Callithrix jacchus: one gene and its partners. The protein of the gene in region 7 purifies or fractionates together with the protein of the main gene of each other region. This does not show direct contact. Links are inferred from orthologs where the notes say so. Each region holds a gene or a part of one and is shown on either strand. Other genes may lie near its edges. The genes, in order: POGZ, ZNF644, CHAMP1, MGA, CCDC71L, CHAF1A and CBX3.

What was found.
Region 1: the proteins of CBX3 (region 7) and POGZ purify together in Homo sapiens (affinity purification with mass spectrometry; 7 studies listed by BioGRID and IntAct, with this or other methods). This does not show direct contact. The link is inferred for Callithrix jacchus from reciprocal best matches to the Homo sapiens genes CBX3 and POGZ.
Region 2: the proteins of CBX3 (region 7) and ZNF644 purify together in Homo sapiens (affinity purification with mass spectrometry; 3 studies listed by BioGRID and IntAct, with this or other methods). This does not show direct contact. The link is inferred for Callithrix jacchus from reciprocal best matches to the Homo sapiens genes CBX3 and ZNF644.
Region 3: the proteins of CBX3 (region 7) and CHAMP1 purify together in Homo sapiens (affinity purification with mass spectrometry; 6 studies listed by BioGRID and IntAct, with this or other methods). This does not show direct contact. The link is inferred for Callithrix jacchus from reciprocal best matches to the Homo sapiens genes CBX3 and CHAMP1.
Region 4: the proteins of CBX3 (region 7) and MGA purify together in Homo sapiens (affinity purification with mass spectrometry; 4 studies listed by BioGRID and IntAct, with this or other methods). This does not show direct contact. The link is inferred for Callithrix jacchus from reciprocal best matches to the Homo sapiens genes CBX3 and MGA.
Region 5: the proteins of CBX3 (region 7) and CCDC71L purify together in Homo sapiens (affinity purification with mass spectrometry; 3 studies listed by BioGRID and IntAct, with this or other methods). This does not show direct contact. The link is inferred for Callithrix jacchus from reciprocal best matches to the Homo sapiens genes CBX3 and CCDC71L.
Region 6: the proteins of CBX3 (region 7) and CHAF1A purify together in Homo sapiens (affinity purification with mass spectrometry; 5 studies listed by BioGRID and IntAct, with this or other methods). This does not show direct contact. The link is inferred for Callithrix jacchus from reciprocal best matches to the Homo sapiens genes CBX3 and CHAF1A.

The regions. Positions count from the first base shown.
Region 1 is NC_133519.1:11,361,835-11,366,090, forward strand, and holds the start of POGZ (pogo transposable element with ZNF domain), read right to left. Parts: upstream 2,801-4,256; 5' UTR 2,670-2,800; coding exon 2,662-2,669; intron 1,019-2,661; exon of another isoform or gene 835-1,018; intron 1-834. UniProt on the Homo sapiens protein: Plays a role in mitotic cell cycle progression and is involved in kinetochore assembly and mitotic sister chromatid cohesion.
Region 2 is NC_133508.1:128,468,519-128,472,018, forward strand, and holds part of ZNF644 (zinc finger protein 644), read right to left. Parts: coding exon 3,056-3,500; intron 2,930-3,055; exon of another isoform or gene 2,833-2,929; intron 1,113-2,832; coding exon 990-1,112; intron 1-989.
Region 3 is NC_133502.1:29,685,923-29,689,850, reverse strand, and holds the start of CHAMP1 (chromosome alignment-maintaining phosphoprotein 1), read right to left. Parts: upstream 2,801-3,928; 5' UTR 2,660-2,800; intron 1-2,659. UniProt on the Homo sapiens protein: Required for proper alignment of chromosomes at metaphase and their accurate segregation during mitosis. Involved in the maintenance of spindle microtubules attachment to the kinetochore during sister chromatid biorientation.
Region 4 is NC_133509.1:44,854,819-44,858,318, forward strand, and holds part of MGA (MAX gene-associated protein), read right to left. Parts: intron 762-3,500; coding exon 471-761; intron 289-470; coding exon 1-288. UniProt on the Homo sapiens protein: Functions as a dual-specificity transcription factor, regulating the expression of both MAX-network and T-box family target genes. Functions as a repressor or an activator.
Region 5 is NC_133512.1:77,109,766-77,113,887, forward strand, and holds the start of CCDC71L (coiled-coil domain-containing protein 71L), read right to left. Parts: upstream 2,801-4,122; 5' UTR 2,674-2,800; coding exon 1,966-2,673; 3' UTR 1-1,965.
Region 6 is NC_133523.1:4,174,629-4,178,128, reverse strand, and holds part of CHAF1A (chromatin assembly factor 1 subunit A), read right to left. Parts: intron 3,298-3,500; coding exon 3,237-3,297; intron 2,830-3,236; coding exon 2,761-2,829; intron 1,463-2,760; exon of another isoform or gene 1,356-1,462; intron 1-1,355. UniProt on the Homo sapiens protein: Acts as a component of the histone chaperone complex chromatin assembly factor 1 (CAF-1), which assembles histone octamers onto DNA during replication and repair.
Region 7 is NC_133512.1:31,891,691-31,895,190, forward strand, and holds part of CBX3 (chromobox protein homolog 3), read right to left. Parts: intron 2,227-3,500; coding exon 2,064-2,226; intron 1-2,063.

The DNA of each region.
Region 1 (4,256 bases), on a different chromosome or scaffold from region 7:
TTAATAATAGTAGGCCAGGCACGGTAGCTCATACTTGTAATCCCAGCACTTTGGGAGGCCGAGGTGGGTAGATCACCTGAAGCCAAGAGTTAGAGACCAGCCTGACCAATATGGTGAAACGCCGTCTTTTTTTTTTTTTTTAATTGAGATGGAGTTTCGCTCTTGTTACCCAGGCTGGAGTGCGATGGCGCGATCTCGGCTCACCGCAACCTCCGCCTCCTGGGTTCAGGCAATTCTCCTGCCTCAGCCTCCTGAGTAGCTGGGATTACAGGCACGCGCCACTATGCCCAGCTAATTTTTTGTATTTTTAGTAGAGACGGGGTTTCACCATGTTGACCAGGATGGTCTCGATCTCTTGACCTCGTGATCCACTTGCCTCGGCCTCCCAAAGTGCTGGGATTACAGGCGTGAGCCACCGCGCCCGGCCTAAACGCCGTCTTAAAAAAACAAAAAAACAAAAAAACAAAAAATACCACCCGGTAGGCAGAGGTTGCAGTGAGTGGAGATTGAATAAAATAAAATAATAATAATCTTTACTGCTTCAAGGGCATTCTCAACTATGTAGTTTGGTGCCACTGACTTGCTTTGTGCTAAGGTACTACCAAGAGTTTTATCCAGCATTGCTTTTGAACCATCAGTGTGTCTGAAAAAAAATCATCTTACTATCATTTTAAAAATAGTTATGACCTTGAGGCTCCCCTGAAAGCGTACGAGGAGATCACCACGGGTCGTCTGTCCACATTTTGAGAACTGCTTTCCTAGATTATACCACTAGTTCAAGATGGGAGTGGAAACTCTAACAAAATCACATTCGTCCCGAGTCTATTCTGTTACCTCCTTTAGTTTGACATACTCCACCAACGTAGCTCTGGAAAAGGGAAGGAAATCAAGGGCACAGGTGTCTTTTAATTGTTTCAACATTTTGAACACTTTTATGTTAGACCAGTAATTCTCAAAGTAGCGGTTAATCAGCCTCCACTGTACGACTACTCATTTTAAAATGTAGAGATGACATTCCCCACTCTGCCCCATTCAAATAAACTTGGGGGATGAGGCCCCTCCAATCTGTACATTTAACAATGTTCAAGGTACTTTTTATGCACCCCGAACTTGAGAACGAGTGTGCTAACAGTTCAAATTCAGAGTTCAAGCTCTCAGACCCTGAGCAACGAGGTCTCGAAATTCATCCTGCCCCCGCTGTTTCCCTTTCATCTAGTAGGGTAAACTACTATAGAAGTAAAATCCCAGCCAGGCGCAGTGGGTCACGCTTGTAATCCCAGAACTTTGGGAGGCCAAGGCGGGTGGATCACCTGAGGTCAGGAGTTCGAGACCAGCCCGGCCTACGTGGTGAAACCCTGTCTCTACTAAAAATACAAAAACTAGCCGGGCGTGGTGGCACATGCCTGTAATTCCAGCTACTTGGGAGGCTCAGGCAGGAGAATCACTTGAACCCGGGAGGCGGAGAGTGCAGTGGGCAGAGATCGAGCAACTGCACTCCAGCCTGGGCGACAAGAGTGAAACTCCGTTTAAAAAAAAAAAAAAGCAAAACCCCATTTGTGTGGAGTTTTGAGCTGTGGTGAGATGTGTCTACGAGCATGGAGGGACCGGCTACCCCCTGCACCAAAACAGCAGCTACTCTGAGATGGTAAAACTGTATCTTAATTTCCATTTGGAAAATGAGACTGGCCACCAAATGACTCTGAGGACTCTTCAGCACTCACTACCTTTCTCTGAACTAAGAATGTCTAACACAAGTAAGCCGAGAAACGTTCAGTACTACTGGTAGTTTGAGGGAATCCCACAACTGCAGAGGAAGGAAATCAGAACAACACGCAGAAAGAGGTAAAGCAAGTGGATCAATGACAGTACTCCTCTGCAAAAGGTGCCAAGAATCTAGAGAAAATAGTCCCCGGGATAAACATGGCGCCCACCGCGGCAGGACATAATCACCAGAAAATAAAGATTCCCCGCCCCATCTCATTTTATAAATCACGGCGCCATCCCGAAAGAAATTTGGGGGCCCAGGGAGGAGACTTCGTAAACTAGCTACAGTGCACTAAAGCTTAGGATGTACTATTAGACCAAGCAGAGATTACATAACACAAGGGATGGGCTCAGCAATCACTCATTTTCCTCCTCCCGCTCAAAATGAGCGTCCCACTCCCTCTCGGAGCGGGGGCAGGGCGGGAAGGGGCGCGCACCCCCATCCCCAGGGGCCGCTCCGCCGCCGCCCGCCCCCTCCGCCGCGCGGCCTCGCCCCCTCGCCCGCCCCTCCCGCCGCGCTCCGCCGTCTCGCCGCCGCCCGCGCCCCCGCCCCTTCCCCAGCGGGCCGCGGGCCGCCAGCCGCGCCCGCGCCGCCCACTCCTCCGAGACGCCTCGCGCCTGGCGTGCGTGTGGACGTCGGGCTGTGTGCGGGGCCGTGGGGCGCGAGTGCGCGCGCGCGCGCCACGGCGGGCGCCGGGGGGCGGGGGCGGCTGGCCAGCCGGCAGGCAGGGGCCTCCGCCGCCGGCCCTTCGCGCGGCTCTCGCGGCCCGGGGCGCACGCACACACACTCGCGCTCGCGCGTCGCACCCCACGGCCGCCCCTGCCGCGGACCGCGCCGCCGCTGGCGGTGGGCGGGGGCGCGCGCCGCCGGCCCCCCGCCCCCACCCCCGCGCGTACCGGCCCATCCCCCTCTCATTGTCTGGCCTCCGAACGCTTCGCCGAGCGAAAAGATAACGGAACCCCCGGGAGCAGGGGGTGGGGAGAGAGAAGGCTCGCTTGCTCACTCACCTCCCGTGGTCGTCGCCGCCGGTAGTCTGACCCGAGGAAGGCGCCGTCGCCTTAAAGGGACCTTGCACCCGGCGCCGGGAGAAGGGGGTGGGAGCAGGGGAGGGGACGGGGGCTTGGGGGGAGACGAAGAGGGAACCGTTGAAAGCTCGTCTCCCCAAGGGTGAAAGGAAGCCTCCCTCGGGTTCGAGTGATTTGGGGTGGATTTTTTTCCCGAGGGGGGCGGGGGGGCCCCGAGGGAGGGGGGTGGGGGGGCCAAGGAATGCGGCTCCGTGTACGGGAGCTGGCGCGGGGGAGAGAGACGCCGACTCCCCCCACCGACCCTCTCGCCCCGCGGAGTGATACGGCTCGTCACTTCCGCCCTCCCCCTTTCACGGCCTCCCAATTGGTCGGAGCGCGCAATACGTCATGGGCTCATCCAAACCCCTGCCCGGGCTTCTTTTCTAGTCAAGTTTGGCTGGGCCTGCAAATAAATAAATAAAAACATTTTTTATAATGAAAAAAGAACAATTAACTTCAGAAGCTCTATCTAAATTTTGGCGAGAAAAATGAGGCTCCCAAAGAAAATAATCTCCAATATACTTGCCTAGACTTCCCAAGGAAGTGTTGGGAGGCTCCCCATTGCCACTCAAGGCTTAGACCCAGTCAAGAGGGGACTTCATGACACAGGCCAGGTGGTGAGGCCCAGTGGCACCAACAACTGTCATTGGAACAAAGAATGAAATGGCACTCACTCTTCCTCAAGAGACACGGCCAAGTAGCCTTGTGGCTGTGGCCTTGTTTAAGTGAAGAACTTTTAAAAGCCATTTTGACTCTCAAGGCCATCTGGATCTTGGAAAGAAGTGGCACACAATTGTTAACCAAGGCAATTATTGTGAGGGAAACTGCTTTGCTCCCATTGTAGTGGATTCAGCAGAGATCCCCAGTTCTAAGAAACCACGCACAATCCACATCCATAAGCTTTTTGCTCCAGTCAAGGCTGAGATGGGTTGGCTCAAAGAAATTGGCGAGTCCACTCGTGGTCATCCAACTGTTTATTCTTCCCCAGAATAAACTAACCGCTTCTCATATAGCTAAGAAATGTTGTCCTTCGTTGCCTTCTGAGATGATAAAAATTTAATATTTTCCTTGAATATTTGAAAATGTTTGCTCTTTAAGCAGTACACAAATATGTGCTCCAAATGTAAAATCAAGGCACTTGGTGCAGAAAGGGGAGATACAGAACTATATTTGTTCGTTCTCTTTATATACATACTCCAAACCACGGACTGTGAAAATAGGCAGTGGAAGTAGGCATTCCAAATTGTATGCATCTGCGTGTGTGTGTGTGTGTGTGTGCACGTGCACGTTTGCGCGCGCGCGCACACACACACACTCACATTGCCATCACCCAGCTTCATTCCATTTCATACCAAAACCATGTGAGTGATTTCCACTAGTGCGGGATGCTTAAGAAGGACTTCATTATTTGAGAAGAATCACTAATC
Region 2 (3,500 bases), on a different chromosome or scaffold from region 7:
AAAGATTGGAAAGAGAATTTTAGGCAAAAGAATTTATGTAGATCTATGTCAAAAAGAGGGTATATTTTAAGATGTGAGGGAAATGAGATTTGCTAAAGCAGTATAGCTTAAAAGACTACAAATGAAGTGCAAAGCATTTTGCAGGTTATAAGAAGCATATTACATATAAGTAAGCTAATAAAATTTTCACAGATGAGCAGCATTAAGAGGTATCTGCAAGGTTGGGCTAACCAACCAAAAATAACACAGAAATTTGCATGTTAACACTTATGTGCATAGCTAAATTTATTAATCTTTAATATATTTAAGAGGTATTAAAAATCTATTCACCTGTCAATACAAGCCATTATTAAGGCTTGCCCCTTCAAAGATCTAATCTACAGACTAATGAAAATTCATTAGTTTGCTTAGGTTTCTTATCAAGTCTACATTTTGGAATTTCCCTATAATTTCCTTTTCTAATAAAGGATTTCCCCAAGCTAGAACTACAATCTTTTTATGCTATGTTGCCCAGGCTAGGGTACAGTGGCTATTCACAGGCACAATCACAGCACATTACAGCCTCTAACTCTTGAGCTGAAGTGATCCTCCTGCGAGCCTCATGAGTAGTTGGGACTATAAAGGCACACCACTGTGCCTGACTAGAACTATAAAGAGAGGTGTTTTTCTGTAATCTAAAATAAATTTAAAAATCAAAAATAGTATAATTCTAAAAAAGAAATGGGATTAAGGTAGACTCAAAATTTCACATCTCTTGGGTTAATTTTTTTTCCCCAAATTAAGTCAACAAGAGCCAAAGGAAAAAGATTAACGTGCTTAGAATTATATCTAACAGTTTACAAGTTGCTGAAATTTATTCAGAAATGTATTCAGACAACTGCAGCTTACCAAAGAAAGTTATAAATATGATCTGAATTAACACCAGTTTGGTGGGGAAAAAAAAGTGTATTGTATCAAACAGACTTGCTGTGATATCTGTTCAAACATACCTGTACCAGTCAAAAGTCCAGCACTCTTCTTTCGTGCATAAGCGCGTAAGTGGTTGGACAGGCTAACAGCACTTGTAAACGTCGTATTGCAATGCACACATGTTCTAAGCTTCACAGGCATACCTATCATTCAAAAGAAAACTATAATCCAGTTCTCACTTCAAGAAGTGAAATTTTCTTAGCTTAAAGAGTGTAGAAAAGCACCACAATAAAGATGGTTTTAAAAACGTTCAATGAAATAGATTAACGTAAAATAAGGCGGGGAAATTAACTGTTATTAGTTTGTAGTTAGTATTTACAGCTATCTCATGCTCTTTGGAAAGGTAGAAGAGGAGTGACTTAAACCTTTGAGCTCCTCTGGATATAACACCTATTATCACTTTCTTGCAGATTTCTGTGTTACGCAGATTATTTCTTAAACCTACGAAAATGCAATCCTGTGATTTGAACACCATGGTTCTGTTGAGAAGTTTCAAAGCTTACAACATTACCAATAAAAAGAATTTAAAAGTCTAGTTGACAAAGTGGTAATTAAAGTGTTTTACCCACAAAACCGTAAAAGTCTCAATACTAAATTAGGTTTTCTGATGAAGGCTGGGAGAAAAGGTGGTAAAACACACCACTGAACAGCTGTTAGACACAACATTTTATCCAGGGTATTTTATGTTCATTACTCTGAATGCGCAATCAATAATGAAAGTTAATGATCTGAAGTTTTTTGCTAAAATCTTTGTGCTAAATAAATGATCAACAAGCTAACATCTTAGTCATCACAGGAAAGAAAACATGTTCAACAATAAAAAACTCCTCACTTCTCAAACAATCCTCACTCCCCCAACACGTTTCAATTGATTTCTTCAGCATTACTGTGACAGCCACAAATATGCTTTCCATCTCTGAAGTATACTACGCCTTGGTCAACACAGCTAACACATCATCCCTGCGTTTTATCCTTCTGAAAGAATACTGAAAGCTAATGACTTTCAGAGACTCTTTATTCAAAAGAAAAAGCTGTATTAAACAGAACCTCATGTAAGATAAATTGTTTTCCAGACCACTTACAATACAAAGTAATCTTTCCTTAAATCAAAATTGCATTACAACTATTTGGGATATGACAATGTCTACCCCAAAGCAAATAAACAACATTACAGTCATTTTATTCATTATTAATCCATTTACTATTACCTCAGACACATTCAACTTACATCTCTAATGAGACCAATTACATAAACCTTTAACATTCTTAATCTTCAAAAAGGAATCTAGAAAAGACACTTAAAATTTTTCTAATCTAAAAGTATAAACCAGACTTGGCAATAATGAATAAAGTTTGGCTACTTTATCTGCCACATTATTTGCCAATACACACAAAATATTCCTTCCCAAAGGAAAAACTATTGGTATACAAGTACTAAGCCAAATCATCTGTTCTGTTCCATTAGAGCACTATTTTAAAACCTAAAACCCCAAACAAATATGTTTTATGTTCACAACTGTTCTCCAAAACCAAACTATCCCACAATACAATAAGGAATTGGAGAAAGGAGATGCTTCTTTAGGTTAATCACAACAGATACCAATCCACTCAGCTTTAAGAGTCTGTTTTGTTTCAACTAAGCAGTGGAAAAACCAACAGCTAAATCTTGAAAACATGATCACCTTGGAGCACTGGCAAAAATACGACAGAGGTATGCCTTTTCAATAACACTGTGCTTTCGAACACCAACCTCCCATTCGCAATCATCCTCCAGCCACAGCAAATTTTATTTTTACAGATCAGCTTTTTGTTTGTTGTTTTTGTATGTGTATGTGTGTGGTTTTCTTTTGCTTTTGTTCTCACCTTACATTCAGACCAAGAAAAGAGGCACAGAGAACTCAGTGCTAAGGAACCTCAACTGATGAGTTATACAGAAATGACAGAATAACCAATCTGTGCTCTGTAAAAAAAAAAGCAGCTTAAGCAAGAAGATTGTGAGAAAGTATTTTCCACATATATTCCATTAAAGAAAGCATAATTGAATGCATTTAAACTGTGTATAGGATAGTCATAAACGTCCTCTTACCTGAGTGCATAGTCAAGTCCATTTTTTGTGGCTGATACATCAACGGACTATCTTCATTTAATGGAAGAACGCATTTCTGAACGAATCTCTTTCTTGCTGTCTGATTATGGATCTTTTGAGGAGAAATAGAAGAATTCCTTTCTTCTCCCATCCTTTTATTTTTAAGAAGTTCTATGAGTGTAAGAGACTGATTCTTTTTTCCACTGGGCAGTTCTGGTTTTGTTTCATCATATTCATTTAAGAAATTCAGCCCTTCTTCTTCTGATGCAGACACTGACAGAGCTTCAGTCTTTAGGCCATTTCGGTATGCTTCAAGAGGTATAACATTTTGAGATATAAAGTCATCACTTGACGCAAGTTTTTGAGCTACAAATGGTCTGGGAATAATACGACGACTGTTCAATGCCTTTAAGATTTTTTCATATTTTTCTTCATTTTGCATCAT
Region 3 (3,928 bases), on a different chromosome or scaffold from region 7:
TACAGGAGCCACCATGCCCAGCCTTTAAAAACTGGATCAACTGGCCAGGCGCGGTGGCTCATGCCTGTAATCCCAACACTTTGGGAGGCTGAGATGGGTGGATCATTTGAGGACAGGAGCTTGTGACCAGACTGGCCAACATGGTGAAACCCTGTCTCTACTAAAAATATAAATTAGCTGAGCATAATGGTGCACACTTATAATCCCAGCTACTTGGGATTGGCTAAAGCAGGAGAATTGCTTGAACCCAGGAGACGGAGGTTGCAGTGAGCCAAGACTGCACCATTGCACTCCAGCTGGGCAACAGAGTAAGACTCCATCTCCATAAGAATTAAAAAAAAAAAAAAGGAAGAAATGAATTTTTCAAGCAGTTTTATGTTTAAACAAAAACATACAAGAATTCCCATATACCTCCTTCCACCAACTCCCTAGCCCCCAGTTTCTCCTACTACAGAGAGCATCCCTAATCTGAAAATCTGAAACCAGACATGCTCCAAAATCCAAAACTTTAGAAGTGCCAAAAGGAGCATTTTGGCACTCAAACAGTACAAGCCAACTATTCCAAAATCTGAAAGTGGGGAGAAGGGAGAGGGGAGAGGGGAGATCCAAAGCACTTCTGGTTTCGAATAAAGGACACTCAACTAGTATTAACATCTTTTGTTAGTGTGAGACATTTGCTACAATGATGAACTAACATTGATTTATTAAGTCTATAGTTTACACAAGGAGTCACTTTTTGTTTTTTTTTTTTGACGGAGTCTTGCTCTGTCCACCAGGCTGGTGTGCAGTGGCGCTATCTCTGCTCACTGCAACCTCCGCCTCCTGGGTTCAAGCGATTTCCTGCCTCAGCCTCCCAAGGAGGTAGGACTACAGGCACTTGCCACCATGCCCAGCTAATTTTTGTATTTTTAGTAGAGATGGGTTTCACCATGTTTGTCAGGATGGTCTTGATCTCCTGACCTCATGATCTGTCCACCTTGGCCTCCAAAAGTGCTGGGATTACAGATGTGAACCACTACGACCAAGGAGTCACTTTCTGTGATGTGCAGTTCTATGGGTTTTGACAAATACATAGCATCATGTATCCACTGCTAGGGTAGTCACACAAAATTATTTCATTGCTTAGCATCTTCCTGTGCTCCTGGCAACCACTCATCTTTTTACTAACTCAGTAGTTTTGATTTCTCATGTGTATTTTTTAAAGGATGGTAAATAGAACATAAAACTTGCCATTTAGGCTGGGCACGGTGGCTCATGTTTGTAATTTTGCCACTTTGGGAGGCCAAGGAGGGTGGATTACCTGAGGTCAGGAGTTCAAGACCAGCCTGACCAACATGGTGAAACCAAGTCTCTACTAAAATTACAAACAATTAGCTCGGCGTGGTGGCGGGCGCATGTAATACCAGCTACTCGGGAGGCTGAAGTGGAGGGTGCAGTGAGCTGAGGTCGCGCCACTGCCCTCCAGCCTGGGCAACAAGAGCAAAACTCCGTCCAAAAAAAAAAAAAAATCACTTGCCATTGAATCATTTTTAAAATCACAATTTAGTTTAGTTCTAAAATGTAGTGCAAACATCACCACTATCTACGTCCAGAATCACTTAACCACAAACAGAAACTCTGTACTCATAAAACACTAACTCCCACTCTGCATTTTCAGTGCTGGTAATGTCTAATCTTTCTGTGTCAGAGGGGGAATCATGCAGTATTAGTCTTTTTGTGTCTTATTTCATTCAATATAATGTGTTCGAGGCTCGTTTATATTGTAGCATCTATCAGAATGTCATTCCTCAGGATGAACAATAGTCCATTACATGTAATATACCACAGCTTGTCTTTCATTCACCTGTTGATAGACATCTGGATTGTGAATAATGCTGCCATGAACATTTGTGAACAAGTAACTGAGTCCCTGCTGTCAATTTTTTTGGGTACAAATCTTGTAGAACTGAGGAACCACACCAATTCCCATAGCTGTTGTACCACGCTACATTCCCACCAGCAGTGCACCCGAGCTTCAATTTCTCCACATCCCCAACACTCATAATTTCCCATTTTTTGTTAGTAGCCATCCTAACAGGTATGAGGTAGTATCTCACTGCGGCTTTCATCTGCATTTTCTTAATGGCTAGTGGTGCTGAGCATCTTTGCACGTGCTTACTGGCCATCTGTCTATCTTCTCTGGAGAAATATCTATCCAAATTCCTTGCCCATTCTTAAGCTGGTTGCTTTTTGTTGGTCAGCTGCATCTCTTCTTGTATTCCAGACATTAACCCTTCACCATTCTCCTCTGCCGTTTTGGAGGCTGTATAGCGGATTTTTAAACAGTAATAATGACAGAGGAGGAGGCAGCCTAGGACTAAAGCGGAAAGAATGGCTTGCGTGCCGTGCTGCCCCCAACTTCCCAATGATTTCACATGCAGTGTTTCCTGCCTCGGCCGCGAGTGACACCGGGCCTCACCGCTCCCGGCACAAAGACGCACTCCCGCCCGGACTCCGGGGGCGGGCCCTTCCCGCGGCCGCGTAGGGGGCGAGGCGGCGCAGGCCCCCTTCACTCGGACAAGCGGCTTCCTCCCGGAGCGGCCCTGCCAAGTCGGCGGCCGACACAGGGCTCGGAGATGCAGGCCCCAGCCACGCCCTCCCCGCTCGCTCCGCTCCTCACCGGTCGGGCCGCTGGCGGCGTCCAGTGGGCGAAGGACGACCCGGAGGGCCCGGCTCGCGGTCGCGGGCGGCTCAGCCAGGCCCCGCAGCGCAGCGGCCTCCCGAATGGCGACTGGACGAAGGAGCCAGGATCCGGGTGCGCGAGCGTGCGCGTGCCCGCGGCACGGGCGGGGGCTGACGGGAAGCAAGTTTGGCGCCGCGCGCCCTCCGGCGCGGACCAATCAGATTGCCGATCGCGTGGCGCGGCAGTGCCACAAGTGCGTGGGCAAAACTAGCGACTCGCGCGGGCCTTCGGAAGTGCCGCGCGCCCGCCCCGCCACGCCCCGGAAGTGCCGCACGTGCCCACTCCGCCTCCGCTTCCCGCGCGCGCCCGGGTCGGCTCCGCGAGGGTTCAGCTGCGTCTGGCTTCTGGCCTCCCGCCGGGACCTTGGAATGGTCCGGGGCTGCCGCCGCCCTGCCGATATCGCTTCCTCTTCTTGCCTTTTTGATTGTTGTAGAAATGAATTTATTAGGAAAAAAAGAGCTGGACCTGCCCCATACATTGTCAGGGATACTTCTGGCATAATGCCTATGACAAAAATACAAACAAATCAACATAGTTCTTGGATGCCAATATTTCTTCTCATCACCTCTCCTCCAGTGAAAGTCCGATCCCCAGAAGTTATCTTCAGTCTTATGAATATTACCACCGCAATTCTAATTAAAATGCATGCACCTCTAATGCTGACGCCATCAGTCTGTATGCTTTGAAACACGGTGAAATTAGCTCGATGCTCTCTACATTTGAACCCTTCTGAAGTTTTACTTTTTATTATTATTGTGGTTAAAATAAACTACAGAATGGTCTGGCACTGTGGCTCAGGCTTGTAATCCCAGCACTCTGGGAGGCCAAGGCGGGTGGATCACCTGAGGTCAGGAGTTCGAGGCCAGTGTGGCCAACGTGGTGAACCCCGTCTCTACTAATAATACACAATTAGCCAGGCGTGGTGGCACATACCTGTAATCCCAGCTACTCGGAAGGCTGAGGCAGGAGAATCCCTTAGAACCTGGGAGGCGGAGGTTGCAGCGAGATCACGCCACTGCACTCCAGCCTGGGCGGCGGAACGAGAGTCTGTCTCAAATAAATAAATAAAAACAAAAACCATAGCATTTACTGTCTTAACTATCTCTATGTGTACAGTTCAGTGGTAGTAAGTGTATTCATAACACCACCATCCATCTCTGTAAGTCTTTCATCTTGAAAAACAAACTATGCATCACATGTTAACTC
Region 4 (3,500 bases), on a different chromosome or scaffold from region 7:
CAACAGGCTGTCCTCCTGAGCTATAGGTTATTTTGGTTTCAGAGCCTGTTTTACTTGCAAAGCTTTGTGGTTCAGGAGCAGAAATCCTCAGGGTCAATGTACCAGCCTGAGACACAAAACTAGCTCCAGAGGAAAGCAATGATGGTGCCTGAGTGATAACATTTACTGCTGAAGATCCAACAGCTTGGATTACAGGATTCATGACAGAGAAAGCAGAGGATGAAGTGGAAGACGGTGGAGTCTCAGAGGGTTTGGAAGGAGCAGGTAACCGGATTCCCATCACAGACCCTAGTTTAAAAAATAAGAGAGAAATTTTTAAATCATGACTGCCTATATCAAGACTTCCAATGCTTGCTTTTCTTTTTGGAAAAGCAACTCTAAGAAAGGAAGAAAAACTATCCTGGTGTATTAACATACCATATGGCCAACTGATGCAACAAAAGAAAAGTTAGTAAGAAAGAAGTTTATACCTGGGTTCCGAAACATGACAGGCTGTAAGTTGGGCTGAGTATTAGAGCCTCGAAGCTGATGCAAAGGTAGAAGCTGGACAATTTGCCCATTAGGGTGCCTGAATAGGTTCATTCCACTTGGACTCCTAACAGGCTGTAAGACCATCCGATGTCCCTGAAGTTGTGTGTTTGAGACAGGTCTAAGAGAAGGAGAACCCTGCTGCACTGGAATCAACAATAATCGAGGTCCAGCACGCTTCACTGTGTTAGAAGAGACCTGTGGAGTAGCCACTGGAATTTGAGCAGCATTTTCTGAAAAACAGGAAATGGAAACATAGTACGAAAACTCCCCTTTAACACATGTACGAAAAAAAAGTATTTATAATTTTTAAATTTTTTTGAGACACAGTCTTGCTCTGTTGCTCAGGCTAGAGTGCAATGGCACAATCTCGACTGACTGCAGCCTCCACGCCTCCCTGGTTCAAGTGATTCTCCCACCTAAGCATCCTGAGTAGCTGCGACTACAGGTGCACACTACCACACCTGGCTTATTTCTGTATTTTGGGGCAGAGACAGGGTTTCACCATGCTGGCCAGGCTGGTCTCAAACCCCTGACCACCAGTGATCTGCCCTCCTTGGCCTCCCAAGGTGCTGGGGATTACAGGCATGAGCCACTGCACACAGCTTTTTTTTTTTTTTTTTTTTTTTTTTGAGACAGAATCTCACTCTGTCGCCCAGGCTGGAGTGCAGTGAGGCGATTTTGGCTCACTGCAACCTCCACCTTCTGGGTTTCCAGTGATTCTCCTGCCTCAGTCTCCCATGTAGCTGGGATTACAGGTGCCCATCACCATGCCCAGCTAATTTTTATATTTTTAGTAGAGATGGGGTTTCACCATCTTGGCCAGGCTGGTCTTTAACTCCTGACCTTGTGATCCACCTGCCTCTGCCCTTCAAAGTGCTGGGATTACAGGCATGAGCCACCACACCTGGCCTATTTTTTTTTTTTTTTTAAGAGACAGGGTCTCACTTGTCACCCCAGCTTCAGTGCAAGGGCTCAATCATAGTTTGTTGCAGTCTCTAACTCCCGCCTCAACCTTCCAAGTAGCTGGGACTACCAGAACCTGTCACTACACCTGGCTAATTATGTTATTCTTTGTAGAGTCAGAGTCTTGCTTTATTGCTCAAGCTAGTCTCGAACTCCTGGCCTTCCAAAATGCTGGGACTGCAGTCATGAGTTCACCATGCCCAGTCAAATAAACAAACAAAAAAACTATTAAGGCACAGAATCTGACCTTGCTGCAAAATAACTTCTAATCTGAAATATAAAGTTGCTGAAATTCTGTACTTTCATTAATACATTATTTATGGCTGAGAACAACCAGACATTATGGAGCTTTACACTTAGAATGGTAAAAAATAGAGTATCAATTGTCAAGAGGCACATTTAAAGAGATAATACTTCTGCCTAAATAAAAACATGGGTATCCCTCTAAATTTGGATTTCTGTTAAAGAGATCCTTTATGATAAAATTATTCTTCAATTTTATTTTATTTATTTATTTATTTATTTTTGAGACAGAGTCTTGCTCTGTCCCCAGGCGCCAGGCTGGAGTGCAGTGGCGCAATCTCGACTCACTGCAACCTCTGCCTCCTGGGTTCAAGCAATTCTCCTGCCTCAGCCTCCTGAGTAGCTGGGATTACAGACACACACCACCATACCCAGCTAATTTTTGTATTTTTAGTAGAGACGGGGTTTCACCATGTTGGCCAGGATGGTCTTGATCTGTTGATCTCGTGATCCACCCACCTTGGCCTCCTGAAGTGCTGGGATTACAGGCGTGAGCTACCGCGCCCGGCCTATTTTTAAAATTTTTTTAGAAAGGATCTCACTCTGCCGCCCCAGCTGGAGTGCAGTGGTACCAGAGCTCACTGCTGCCTCAAACTCCCAGGCTCAGCCAAAGGAGCTGGGACCACAGATGCAAATTTTTGTTTGTTTTGTTTTGTTTTAGAGAGAAGGAGTGTGCTGTATTGCCCAGGCTGGTCTTCAACTCCTGGGGCTCAAGCGATCCTCCTGCCTCAGCCTCCTAAAGTGTTGGGATCATAGGTATGAGCCACCATGCCTGGCCTCTTTATTTTTTTAAATAAAATCCATATCCTGCACAATTTAACTTTAAGGCTCATAACACTTACTAGAAATATGACTGAATTTCTAAGCTTATACTACCTGAGGAAGACAAAGAACAAAAAATTCTTGGTTTATAAAGGGCTTCTTGGTTTTTAAAATTCACTAATAAGCAAAGCTTAAAGGTTTGTGGGAATTACTTTTCAGAAGAGAAAAATGACATAAAGCCCTCAAAATGTAATAAAATTAACACACATCATAGAAGCAGGGAAATAAACCTGGCTTAGAAAGGCAAAAAGGCCAGGTGGCTCATGCCTGTAATCCCAGCACTTTGGGAGGCCAAGGCGGGTGGATCACCTGAGGTCAGGAGTTCGAGACCAGCCTGGCCAATATGATGAAACCCCATCTCTACTAAAAATATAAAAATTCGCTGGGAGTGGTGGCAGGGTTCTGTAATCCAAGCTATTCGGGAGGCTAAGGCAGGAGAATTGCTTGAACTCAGGAGGCGGAAGTTTCAGTGAGCTGAAATCACATCACTGCACTCCAGCCTGGACAACAAGGGCAAGACTTCATCTTAAAAAAAAAAAAAAAGAGGCAAAAGATGCTTTTAAAATAGCTTTATAGCAGAAATTTAATGCAGAAGATGTGAATTAATAGAGATTTCAAACCATTAACAGTACTTACAGATGCCCTTTACTGATTAGAAGAGATATTTAAAAGAAATACTAAAGACATAGGAAAAAACAGTACAAGTAATCTAGATTTCTTTTTTTAGATCAGAGAGATAATAGTAAGCATAAATAAAACTGGTCTAACATTACTATTCAAATTGGTGAGCTTATTTAACATTAATACATAAAACTTCAAAAGCTTGCTACTCAAGAGAAAAAAATCAAACAAATGAAACAAAGATTTTAGCTTAACAGGCA
Region 5 (4,122 bases), about 45 Mb from region 7:
ATCACAAATATGATTTAACATTCTCTATCTTCTAAAGAATTATTCATTTTTGTTTACTCATGTGACAGTGTTTGTAACAATGCATTATCATTGAGTAGTGAATAAAAGACCGAGGCTTACTAGAAAACTGGCATAAAGTTATATATATGTGTGTGTGTGTGTGTGTATATATTCTTTTAACAAAACAAGAATACTGAAATTAAAGTCACAACACTCCTATATGGACTACTAAACTTGAAATATTCATTTCAGAAAGCTATGCCATTTGAATTCTAGGAACACAAGAGTTAAAATTGCAACTCTCATTATTGTCCTAAGAAGCTGCCAAGCAGAGATAAACTTTAGTATTAAGGATTTCACATGTCAAGTTCCAGCCCAGTATGGATCGTTTTATGGCAGAATATTTAAATTTCAAATAATAGTGGTACAAAAACACTACTTGACCCTTTAGGTATTGCAGTAAAAGTTGGCTGTGGCACCACTGGTTAAAAACTATTAAGTCTTCCTGCCACAAATGACCAAAGGCACTTGGATAATCAAGAATTCCACACTGGGCTATATGGTATAAACACTATAAAAGCGTAAAGCAGGGTCAGTAGCCTGTGTGGCTCGCCTGTTTAATTCCTGTGGTCTTCAGCTGTCAAAGACCTAGAACTGGAGACATGAGTGGCAAGAAGGTTAAAAAAATGATGTGACCAAAAAGTCAACTTAAAGTCAACTAATATTCATGATGTTTGTAAAAGTGAATATTAGTCTAGACATTTCTTGTTATCCAACAACAACAAAAAAAAGGAAATAGATTTTGCCCAAAGTAACCTCAACCAGTTATTTGATACCAAGAAATGCCTCCACCCCTCTTCATTAATAGTTCTCAGAACTCAAATGGGTATTCTGTATATCATTTTAGTCATAATGTTTACACACAGGCATCTCTCCTATGCAAGTCCCATTTTAAAATACATTTTCCTCGTAATGTATTTCAAAATACATACTTTAATGCATAATATTCCTGGATTTGTATGTTAGACCAGGAGAGGGGCCAAATGATCTCCAGTCAGATTCCAGTCACTCCTGCAACCAAAGCCAGTTCTTCACAATTCACTCATTTTTTTAATCACACGCCATATGGTTTCAATGCATTTTTTTTATTCAATTCAAGAGAATTTAACAAGTTAATTTTTCCTAAACAAAAGTTTTCACGTGTATTCTACCATTTTTAGGAGCTCAGTAAATATAAACATTAAGTTTCAATATATAAAACCTTTAGAAACACCTTGAAAATGTTTAAAGTTATATTTTGCATGTCTTTGTTTGTAATCACTGAGCCCATCCAAATCCTTGCACTACTAACATTCACAAGCTTGAACCTCTTAAAAAATATCCTCCATCAAAGCTTTGGAATCCAGTAAAAATTAGGAAACGAGTGGGCTTCAGAATACCCTGAGCACAAACTAGTGCAACACCACATGTTCGAACTTCTGTCCAGAAAGAGGGGTGGCAGTGAAAAAAAGGGGGGAATAAAGAGCAAGTAAATTCTGGCTTTATTACACAAGCACAAAACCAAATTCCTTTGGAAAAATAATGTCTTCTTCGGAGGACTTCCAGACCAGTGAGGTAGAGTCCAACAGGGAGAAAACGGATCTGCCCCTAAGGTCCTGGAGACGTCTCAATCTGGGGTCAGGAAGGGACCTCCCCTATGGGTCCGGCTGTCCCCTCCGTCTGCAGGCCGGGTGATGGGGGCAGCAGAGGCCACACTTGCCCCGGAGTCCAAGACGACGGCGCCACGGCCCGGGGGCGCAGGGCAGGGACAACCATCCGGTGACTTCTTCGTGCATAAAGTGCACTGGGGGCCGGGGTCCTGGCCGGATCTGTAAACACTCGACTGACACTTGTCCATTCCTCCGGGAGGAAGCTCTGTCAATTCCGCCGATCGGAGCCGGCAGGAGGCGCTACGGGGGCCGCGCCTCACGCTCGGGGCACCGGGAAGCGGCGGAGCCTCACCATGGGTTCCAGATTCACTTGCAGGATCTGGCGTGCTCTGCGCCGCGCCGCCGCCAGGCTGCGCTCACCCCACACGTCGCTGCCGACGCGGATGGTGGGAAAGGTGGTCAGCGTCGGGGTAGCAGCCCTCCAGATCTCCTCCAGGGTGCGGCCCCCGAAGCAGGGCCCGGGGGCCACAGGCTTGTCCCGGCAGCTCTCCTCCGGGGCCAGCAGCGGCGCGGGAGGTGGCTGGGGCTTTCTCCTGCGGGCGGCAGTCGCCCGGGCTCCGCGGCGCCTCCTCTTGGCCATGGCGCGCGGTGCCGGCCGGCGCGCCTGGCTGCGGGCGGTGGGGGGTAACGGGGGGTCGGGCACCAGGGCCCGGCAGGAGGAGTAGCCGTAGACGTCCTTGCTGCGCAGGATGTGCGGAGAGAACTGGTGCTTGAGGCTGCAGAGGAAGCTCCAGAGCTCCGCGTCCGAGCTCATGAACTCCGTGCTGCGGGGCATGAAGATCTTGAAGGCGTCGCCCAGCGCCTTGGTGCTGTCAGCCAGCGACAGTTGCGACCGCGAGTACACCACCTTCTCCTCCTGCGCCTCCAGCCCGGCCCCGTCTTCTGCCCTAAAGCCACCGCCCCGGGCGGCCGCAGCTGGGGCGACCGGGGCACGGCGCCGCCGCCTCTTCATGCTGCGACGCATCCAAGGCCGCTCGTACTCGCCGGGTCCCGCTGCCGCCGCTGCCGTCCCACTCCGCGTCGGCTCCGCGGCGGTGGCCGCTGCTGGCGTCTGTAGCTACTTTTCTCGCCTCTGCCGCCGCCCCTCCCCCTCTGAGGGCGGAGGACGCGGGCGAATATCCTGCCGCCCGGTACAAGATGGCGGCCAGCGCCCACCCCTGGGCTTTGTCATTGGACGGCGCCTCACCCCCCCTAGTTTCTCTTTCTTCTCCTCTCTTGCCTCTTTTCACCGGCTGCCTTTCTTTAAATGTGCCCGCCTCAGGCCCCTCCCACCACAGCCCCGACTCCACCCATTGGGTGCTCTCAGAAGAGGGGCGGGGACTGATGAGGGAAAGGCCAGTTCCTGGAAGATGGTGCTGGGGTGGGTGATGGTGATGGCCTTTGAACGTAAGTCAATGGTTGGGTGGTTCTAGGAGCGTTGCCATGTCTAGAGTAAGAGGGTGAATGTTGGCTCCACCTTGGGAAGAGAGACTCTCAGAGTGAGGTGGTGTGCAGTTGTGGATTGAGCTGGGAGCTCTACCAGTGTGAATAACAAAGGGAGATTTGCCTAAAGGATGTTGCTGGTATCACGGATAGGGAATTTGGGTTTAAGTCTAGGGGAAATGGGCCTTTCACGATTCCCATTCACCCTCTCAAAGGCCTCTTCTGGCATCTTCATTCAAAACTCTTCTGTCTTGACCCCAGTCCTTCTCAAGAAGCCAGTAGTAATCCAGAATCATTCAGCTAATGTGCGTGGGTGGCAGCTGAGAGACTGGAGTCTCCCTCTGGACAGTGGAGCCATCTTCATATTTAAGACAGACTCTGCTTATCCAGAAAGCAAAGCATCTCATACCCTATAAAACTAAACACTCTGCTCAAATTGATCAAAGATCAATTGCAATAAAGCCATTCTGTGTAATATACATAGTTTTAAATACACAGCTCTTTAAGAGTGCCAGTTCATTCTTCATTTAGTTTTAAAATATCAGAGCCATCCCTATCATTTAGAAAGGATGCATCATTGCAAACAATAGATAAGTTTTTGTTGAAAAACATTGTTAAGAACACATTACCTTTTGTATTGAGAGGAGAGTTGTGGACATTCTTTAGTCATCTTTCTGTCCTCTATACCTAACTCAATTCCTGTCAGGTAGTGGGTACTCAATGTGTTTGCTGCATGGATCAGTGATAAGTTTTTGTTGAAAAACATTGTTAAGAACACATTACCTTTTGTATTGAGAGGAGAGTTGTGGACATTCTTTTTTTTTTTTTTTTTTTTTTTTGTGGACATTCTTTAGTCATCTTTCTGTCCTCTATACCTAACTCAATTCCTGTCAGGTAGTGGGTACTCAATATGTTTGTTGCATGAATCAATGAAAACCACTGCTTATCCCAAATGGAGTCAGAAATGGCTTAGAACAGGACAATTTTATAT
Region 6 (3,500 bases), on a different chromosome or scaffold from region 7:
AAGAATATCAATTTTTTTTAATCCATCAGACTGGCAAAGTTAAAATTCATTCCATCCATTAATATCACAGAATCAGGAAGAGACATTGTCAGGCACTGCCAGGCACGTACACCTGAGTTTTCCTGTCTGGCGGGCACTCTGGCCATGGCTAACAACGTTTCAGCAATGTGCTGTTTTGTCCTAGAGGTTGGCTGTCCCAGAGGACGCATGTGTGCAGAGAAGCATACTCAGGAACCCCTACTGTGCCACTGAGGGGCAGAGAAGCTGAGATAGCGGCAGGCTCTGTGGCTCATGCCTGTGAGCCCAGCACAGTGGGTGGCTAAGGTGAGAGAACTGCTGAGGCCAGGAGTTCAAGACCAGCCCTGGCAACACAGTTAGACCCCATCTCTACTACAAATAAAATTAGGGAGGCTGAGGTGAGCACATTATCTCACGTCAGGAGTTCGAGATCAACCTGGCCAAATTGGTGAAAACCGTGTCTACTGAAAATATAAAAAATTAGTGAGACACGGTGGCAGGTGCCTGTAATCCCAGCTACTAAGAAGGCCAAGGCAGGAGAACTGCTTAAACCCGGGAGGTGGAGATTGCAGTGAGCTAAGATCGAGCCACAGCACTCCAACCTGGGTGACAGAGCAAGATTCCGTCTTAAAAAAAAAATAAACAAATGAATAAATAAAATTTTAGGCCGGGCGCGGTGGCTCAAGCCTGTAATCCCAGCACTTTGGGAGGCCAAGGCAGGTGGATCACGAGGTCAAGAGATCAAGACCATCCTGGTCAACATGGTGAAACCCCATCTCTACTAAAAATACAAAAATTAGCTGGGCATGGTGGCAGGTGCCTGTAATCCCAGCTACTCAGGAGGTTGAGGCAGGAGAATTGCCTGAACCCAGGAGGCGGAGGTTGCGGTGAGCCGAGATCGCGCCATTGCACTCCAGCCTGGGTAACAAGAGCGAAACTCCATCTCAAAAATAAAAATAAAAAAGAGAGAGAGAGAAACCATGATATCATTGCATTATTAAGTATTATCCAACAGTGAAAATAAATGACATGGTCAGGCGCAGTGGCTCACGCTTGTAATCCCAACACTTTGGGAGGCCGAGGCAGGCAAATCATCTGCAGTTGGGAGTTCGAGACCAGCCTCATCAAAATGGAGAAACCCTGTCTGAACTAAAAATACAAAATCAGCCGGGCGTGGTGGCACATGCCTGTAATCCCAGCTACTCGGGAGGCTGAGGCAAGAGAACCACTTGAAACTGGGAGGTGGAGGTTGTGATGAGCTGAGATCACGCCACTGCACTCCAGCCTGGGCAACAAGAGCAAAACTCCATCTCAAAACAAACGAACAAACAAAAACAGTGCTCGCTTCAGCAGCACATAGACTAAAATCGGAACGATACAGAGAAGATGAGCACGGCCCCTGCACAAGGATGACACAAAAATTCGTGGAGCAGTCCATATGTTTTTTTAATAAAAGAGAAAGAAATGACGTGGGTCTGTGTTTGTCACTACGGAACGTGTAGGCACAACAATGTCATGTTGTGCACCTTCAAGATATGCAATTGTGAAGTATTTTGAGATACAAATAAAAGGATAGGCCAGGAGCAGGGGCTCACGCCTGCAATCCAAGCACTTTGAGAGGCCAAGGCTAGGAGAAGCTTTTGAGGCCAGAAGGTCAAGACTAGCCTGGGCAACACAGCAAAATCCCGTCTGTACAAAAAAATTTAGAAATTAGGCCGGGCGCAGTGGCTCATGCCCATAATCCCAGCACTTTGGGAGGCTGAGGTGGGCAGATCACTTGAGGTCAGGAGTTTGAGACCACACTGGCCAACATGGGAAAACGCTGTCTCTTCTACAAATACAAAAATTAGCTGTGCGTGGTGGTGAGCACCTGTAATTCCAGCTACTCAGGAGGCTAAGGCAGGAGATTCACCTGACCCCAGGGAGCCAAGACTGCGCCACTGCACTCCAGCCTAGGCGAGAGTGAGACTCTGTCTCAAAAAAAAAAAAAAAATTAGCCAGGTGTGGTGGCATATGCCTGTAGTCCCAGCTACTCCGAAGGCTGAGGTGGGAGGATCACCTGAGCCTGAGAGGTCAAGACTGTAGTGAGCTCTGACTGTGACGCTGCACTCCAGCCTAAGTGACAGTGTGTGACCCGGTCTCAAAAATAAATAAATAAACGGCAGATAGATACATTAAAAAGAATGAAATCCACCTAAATATGGCAATATGACACATACCCGAGACAGCTAAGTACACACATGTATGAACAGACAGTGAGTGGAGCAGGGAAAGGCACTGAAGGCCCGCTAACATCGGAGACAGGCTCCCTCTGGGTAAAAGGGACGGAGGGCTGTGGTTTCCACGCACAGATGGTGGCTCAGAAGGTCTGAGCTGTCAGGTGACCAACGCCAGGTGGGGAAAGTAAATCTTTGTGAATTCTACTGTTTTGCGGCTATGTTTGCCCCTCAAGCCTAAGTTTCCCAAGGGTAAAAACATGGTTAACTTCTCTTAACGCCTAACACAAAATTACTCAGAAGCAGCCTCTGAAAACAGCACTTTTTAATCAGACACGCCACTTTTTACCTTTTTTGGGTCAAAGCGAAGACAAAATATTGAGCCTCAAGAGTTTACCAAAACGAACTTTCCTGGCTTACCAGAGGCTCCGTGCCTCATGATCAGAGAAGCTGGCTGGTGCCAGATCCTTTCAATTTCAGAGAGAAAACAGCCGAAACTGGAAAGCAAAGGCAGCCGGCTGCTCACCTTGGGGGCCTGTGGAGTCTTTGGTTTCTGGAAGAACCTGGTGATTTCAGCCTTCTCTGCTTTAATACGCTGTGATGTAAGAGAAAATGATGAGAAAGAAGAGCGGAAAAGACACGGTGCACGCTTCAAAACATGCAAATGTCCCCCAGCACCAAAACTCAAGCATGTTATCTCAAAGGCTCTGCTGTGATTTTTTTAGCTCTCAAAACCCACAGACCCGCAACCATGCCAGCCAGTCTCAAAATGTCCGAGTTGCCCTTGTGGGTGGAAGTGCCAGGGTATGGGGCCAGTAGGCGTGTGACAGACCAGCACTGAGAAGAAGCGAAAGGATGCATCTAGAGATTCGTCCCTCCTGGGGGCGCCATTTGGTTTCCTCAAACCAAGAGAACGTTAAGACGACAGCTGTGGCTAGAATTCCACCTTGTGCATCTGCTTCAACGGGCTGGGATGGGGAAGTTCTGAAGGAAACACGCTACCTTCTCCTCCTCTCTTAACCGTTTCTCTTCTTCCTTTTTCCTTTTCTCCTCAAGTTTGGCCCTGTGAGACAGCAAATGACATTTCAGCTGACTCTTTGCTACGTTCTGGAAGGGACCACGGTACGCAGCTGTTAGTAAATGGCAAGTATTTAACTTTGCAGCAACGAATATGTTACTTCCACGTTACTATAAAGCTATAACGTAGGCCTTCACAATAAAAACGACAAATAGACAATGAAACTCTTCCTGCGACTAGAATATATA
Region 7 (3,500 bases):
TCTCCTGCCTCAGCCTCCCAAGTAGCTGGGATTACAGGTATGTGCCACCATACCCGGCTAATTTTTTATTTTTAACAGAGACAGGGTTTCTCCATGTTTGTCAGGCTGGTGTCGAATTCCCAACCTCAGATGATCTGTATGTCTTGGCCTCCCAAAGTGCTGGGATTTCAGGTGTGAGCTACCACCACGCCCCGCCCCATCAGAGTTTTATATCAATGTGACAGGCTCTGGCGTCACACTGCCTGGGTGAGAATGACAGACCTACCCTGCTCATGAGCTGTGTGGCTTTGGGCAAGTTAATTAACCTCTTTGTGGTAAGGTTAATAAAATAGAATTTTAGTATCTACTGCATAGGTATTTCACAGCACATGAAATGCAAATGATTTGGAACACAGTATGGCAAATGGTAACAGTTCAAAAAGTATTGTTAAAGTTGTGCTCGATTATCTAATAATTTTTTGTAACAAGGTCTTGCTTTGTTGCCCAGGCCAAAGTGCACTGGTATGATCACAGCTCACTGCACCTTGATCTCCTAGGCTCAAGCAATACTTCTGCCACAGCCTTCCAAGTAGCTAAGACTACTAGGCATCCACCACGTCTGACTGATATATTTTTTTCTTTGTAGAGACGGGGTCTTACTATGTTATCCAAACTGTCCTCCAACTCCTGGGCTCAAGCAATGTTCCTGCCTTGGTTTCCCAAGGTGCTGGGATTACAGGTGCGAGCCACTGTGCCTGGCCAAAACTGTGCTTCTGTTGAGCACATGATTTACTTTCAGAACCAAATATATAGTCAATCTCATTTCTTCATCCATAAAATAGTGACTATACCTATGACCTTATACACAATGAGTTGTCATGAAGGTAAGACTTCTTGGCTTCTACTTCAAATGATCAAGTTTCAAATCCCAAGTCCTTACCAATTAATATGTATTGTCTGTTTAGTGCCAGAGCCTAGAATCTAATTCAGCACAAAGATATCTCCCCAAATTGCCATACTAGGTCAGTAGGCAAGACAAGTATAATCTAGTTTTACAGTCAAGGGTAGAAGTAAGAGGTTACTTGACTTTCTGAAGCCACAGAGATATAAGTGAAGCAAAGATTGGACCAAAGCATATGTATACTGAAGGAACTAAATAGCTCATTTCATGCCAAGAATATGTGTAACAGTTTTTATTATCGAAGATTATATACTTCAAAATCAGTGCATTGTTTGGCAATACTAAGATGACACACAAGTACTTTTTGATGGTCAATGCCATTAATGAACTATAATCAGAAAGTTCTCTTTACATTGTTCTTACTGTAATACAATGGCTTTCAATAATCCAATCTTAGTATTGTTTGTACTAAAGATTGCTAGCCTTGGATCACGGGTGATTGGTTGGATCAGTGATCAACTCCATGAAACTAAGAAAAACTGCCCAAGTGGTATAAGCACTTACTGCACATTTACATAATGTAGACTAAACCACACCTATTCTTATTGCCCTAAGTATTAAAATATTTAAAGTAGAATTAAGAGGCCTTTTAGAAAAGTAGTTGAGATTTTTTTTTTTGAGACAGAGTCTCACTCTGTCGCCCAGGCTGGAGTGCAGTGGCACAATCTCAGCTCCCTGCAACCTACACCTGCTGGGTTCAAGCGATTCTCCTGCCTCAGCCTCCTGAGTAGCTGGGATTACAGGCATGTGCCACCACACCTGGCTAATTTTTGTACTTTTAGTAGAGATGAAGTTTCACCATGTTGGTCAGGCTGGTGATCCACCCGCCTTGGCCTCCCAAAGTGTTGGGATTACAGGCTTGAGCCACTGTGCCCAGCCTGAGTTTTTAAAAAACCAAACCATCAGGCGGGCACAGTGGCTCACGCCTATAATCCCAGCACTTTGCGAGGCTGATGGATCACCTGAGGTCAGGAGTTTGCACTGGACGGGGAGGTTGTAGTGAGCCAAGACTGCGCCACTGCACTCCAGCCTGGGCAACAGAGTGAGACTGTCTCAAAATCAATCAATCAAGCCATCAACCTTTTACAAACGGACAGGCTGCTAGGCAATACTGTATACTTACAGCATCTCTTTTCTTCTTTGATTTGCTGTCATCAGATTCACTGTCAGATAAAGATTTTCTTTTTGTACCATCTTTTTCTTTGCCAGCTTTTTGAGAATTAAGAAATGCTTCAATCAACTCTGGACAATCTAAATTTTCTTCAGGTTCCCAAGTATTGTCAGCACTGTTAAAAAAAAAATTCAATTAAACATGATTCATCCCCATTACCCAGATCCATTTTAATAGACACCTGGGGAAATAAAAAGTCCTCTGTACTGCAGATACTAATCATTTCCTCCTTCCCTACATTTTATTTCTCCCGACCCCGGAGACAGGGTCTTGCTTTGTTGCCCAGACTTGAGTGCGGTGATGCGATCAGCTCACTGAAGATTCCCAACTCCTGGGTCAAGCAATCCCCTGCCTCAGCTCCCACTCCCCACTCGCCCAGTAGCTGGGACTACAGGCATGCACCACCATACCCAGCTAACTTAAAACACTTAAAAAAAAAAAAAAGAGAAGGGGTCTCTCGCAGCTGGTCTTAAATTCCTGGTCTCATGTAATCCTCCAGCCCTGGACTCCCAAAGTGCCAGAATTACAGGTGTTAGCCACTGCACCCAGGCCCGACAAGTCTTTTGAGAGAAATCTGCTATTTTACTTCCAAGTGAAGTAAACTTTACTGTAACAGAATAATTCAAACGGCTGAACAAATGTAAATTCCCAATTCCCACCCCAAATTAGTATGTCATATCATGTCTAGGGTTGGGACCTCCAATGCCATGTTTTAAGACATAATGATTCTGAAGCATTAGACATTTTCAATTTTTGCTGGGTGTTCAAATTGGGAAATGGTATAGAGTGGGCTGGTAAACCAAAAGCTAAATCCAGTCTTTTGTATGGTTTGCAAACTAAAAATATTTTTACGTTTTTAAATGGTTGGAAAAATATTTCAAACTAAATTATACGTAATTTGAATTTTAGTGCCCACAAATGAAGTACCATTGGAACACATCCACACTCATCCGTTTAGATGAGCAGAGATGTAGAGACAAGAGACCTGTGGCCCGAAAAGCAGAAAATAATTACTACATGACACTTTAGGGGGAAAGGTTGCTGACCCCTGATACAATGTAAGGCTGAGATGACTATTTCTATGGATTTTTTAGAACTGCTGTAAAAAAGAAAATGAGTATCAATTAATAGACGTGAAAGTAAGATCACCCTACACCAACAACCGGCTTGCCAACTTCGTGCTCTGGTTCAAAAAAACCTTTACAGAACTAGGTGTGATGAAGTTAGTAATTTTAGGGACGCTGGGGTAACTGGATCATGAGGTTAGGGGATTGAGACCAGCATGCTCAACATGGTGAAACCTTGTCTCAACTAAAAAAAAAAACCACAAAAATTAGCTGGGCTGGGGATGGGCGCCTGTAATCACAGCTACTCAGGAGACTGAAGCAG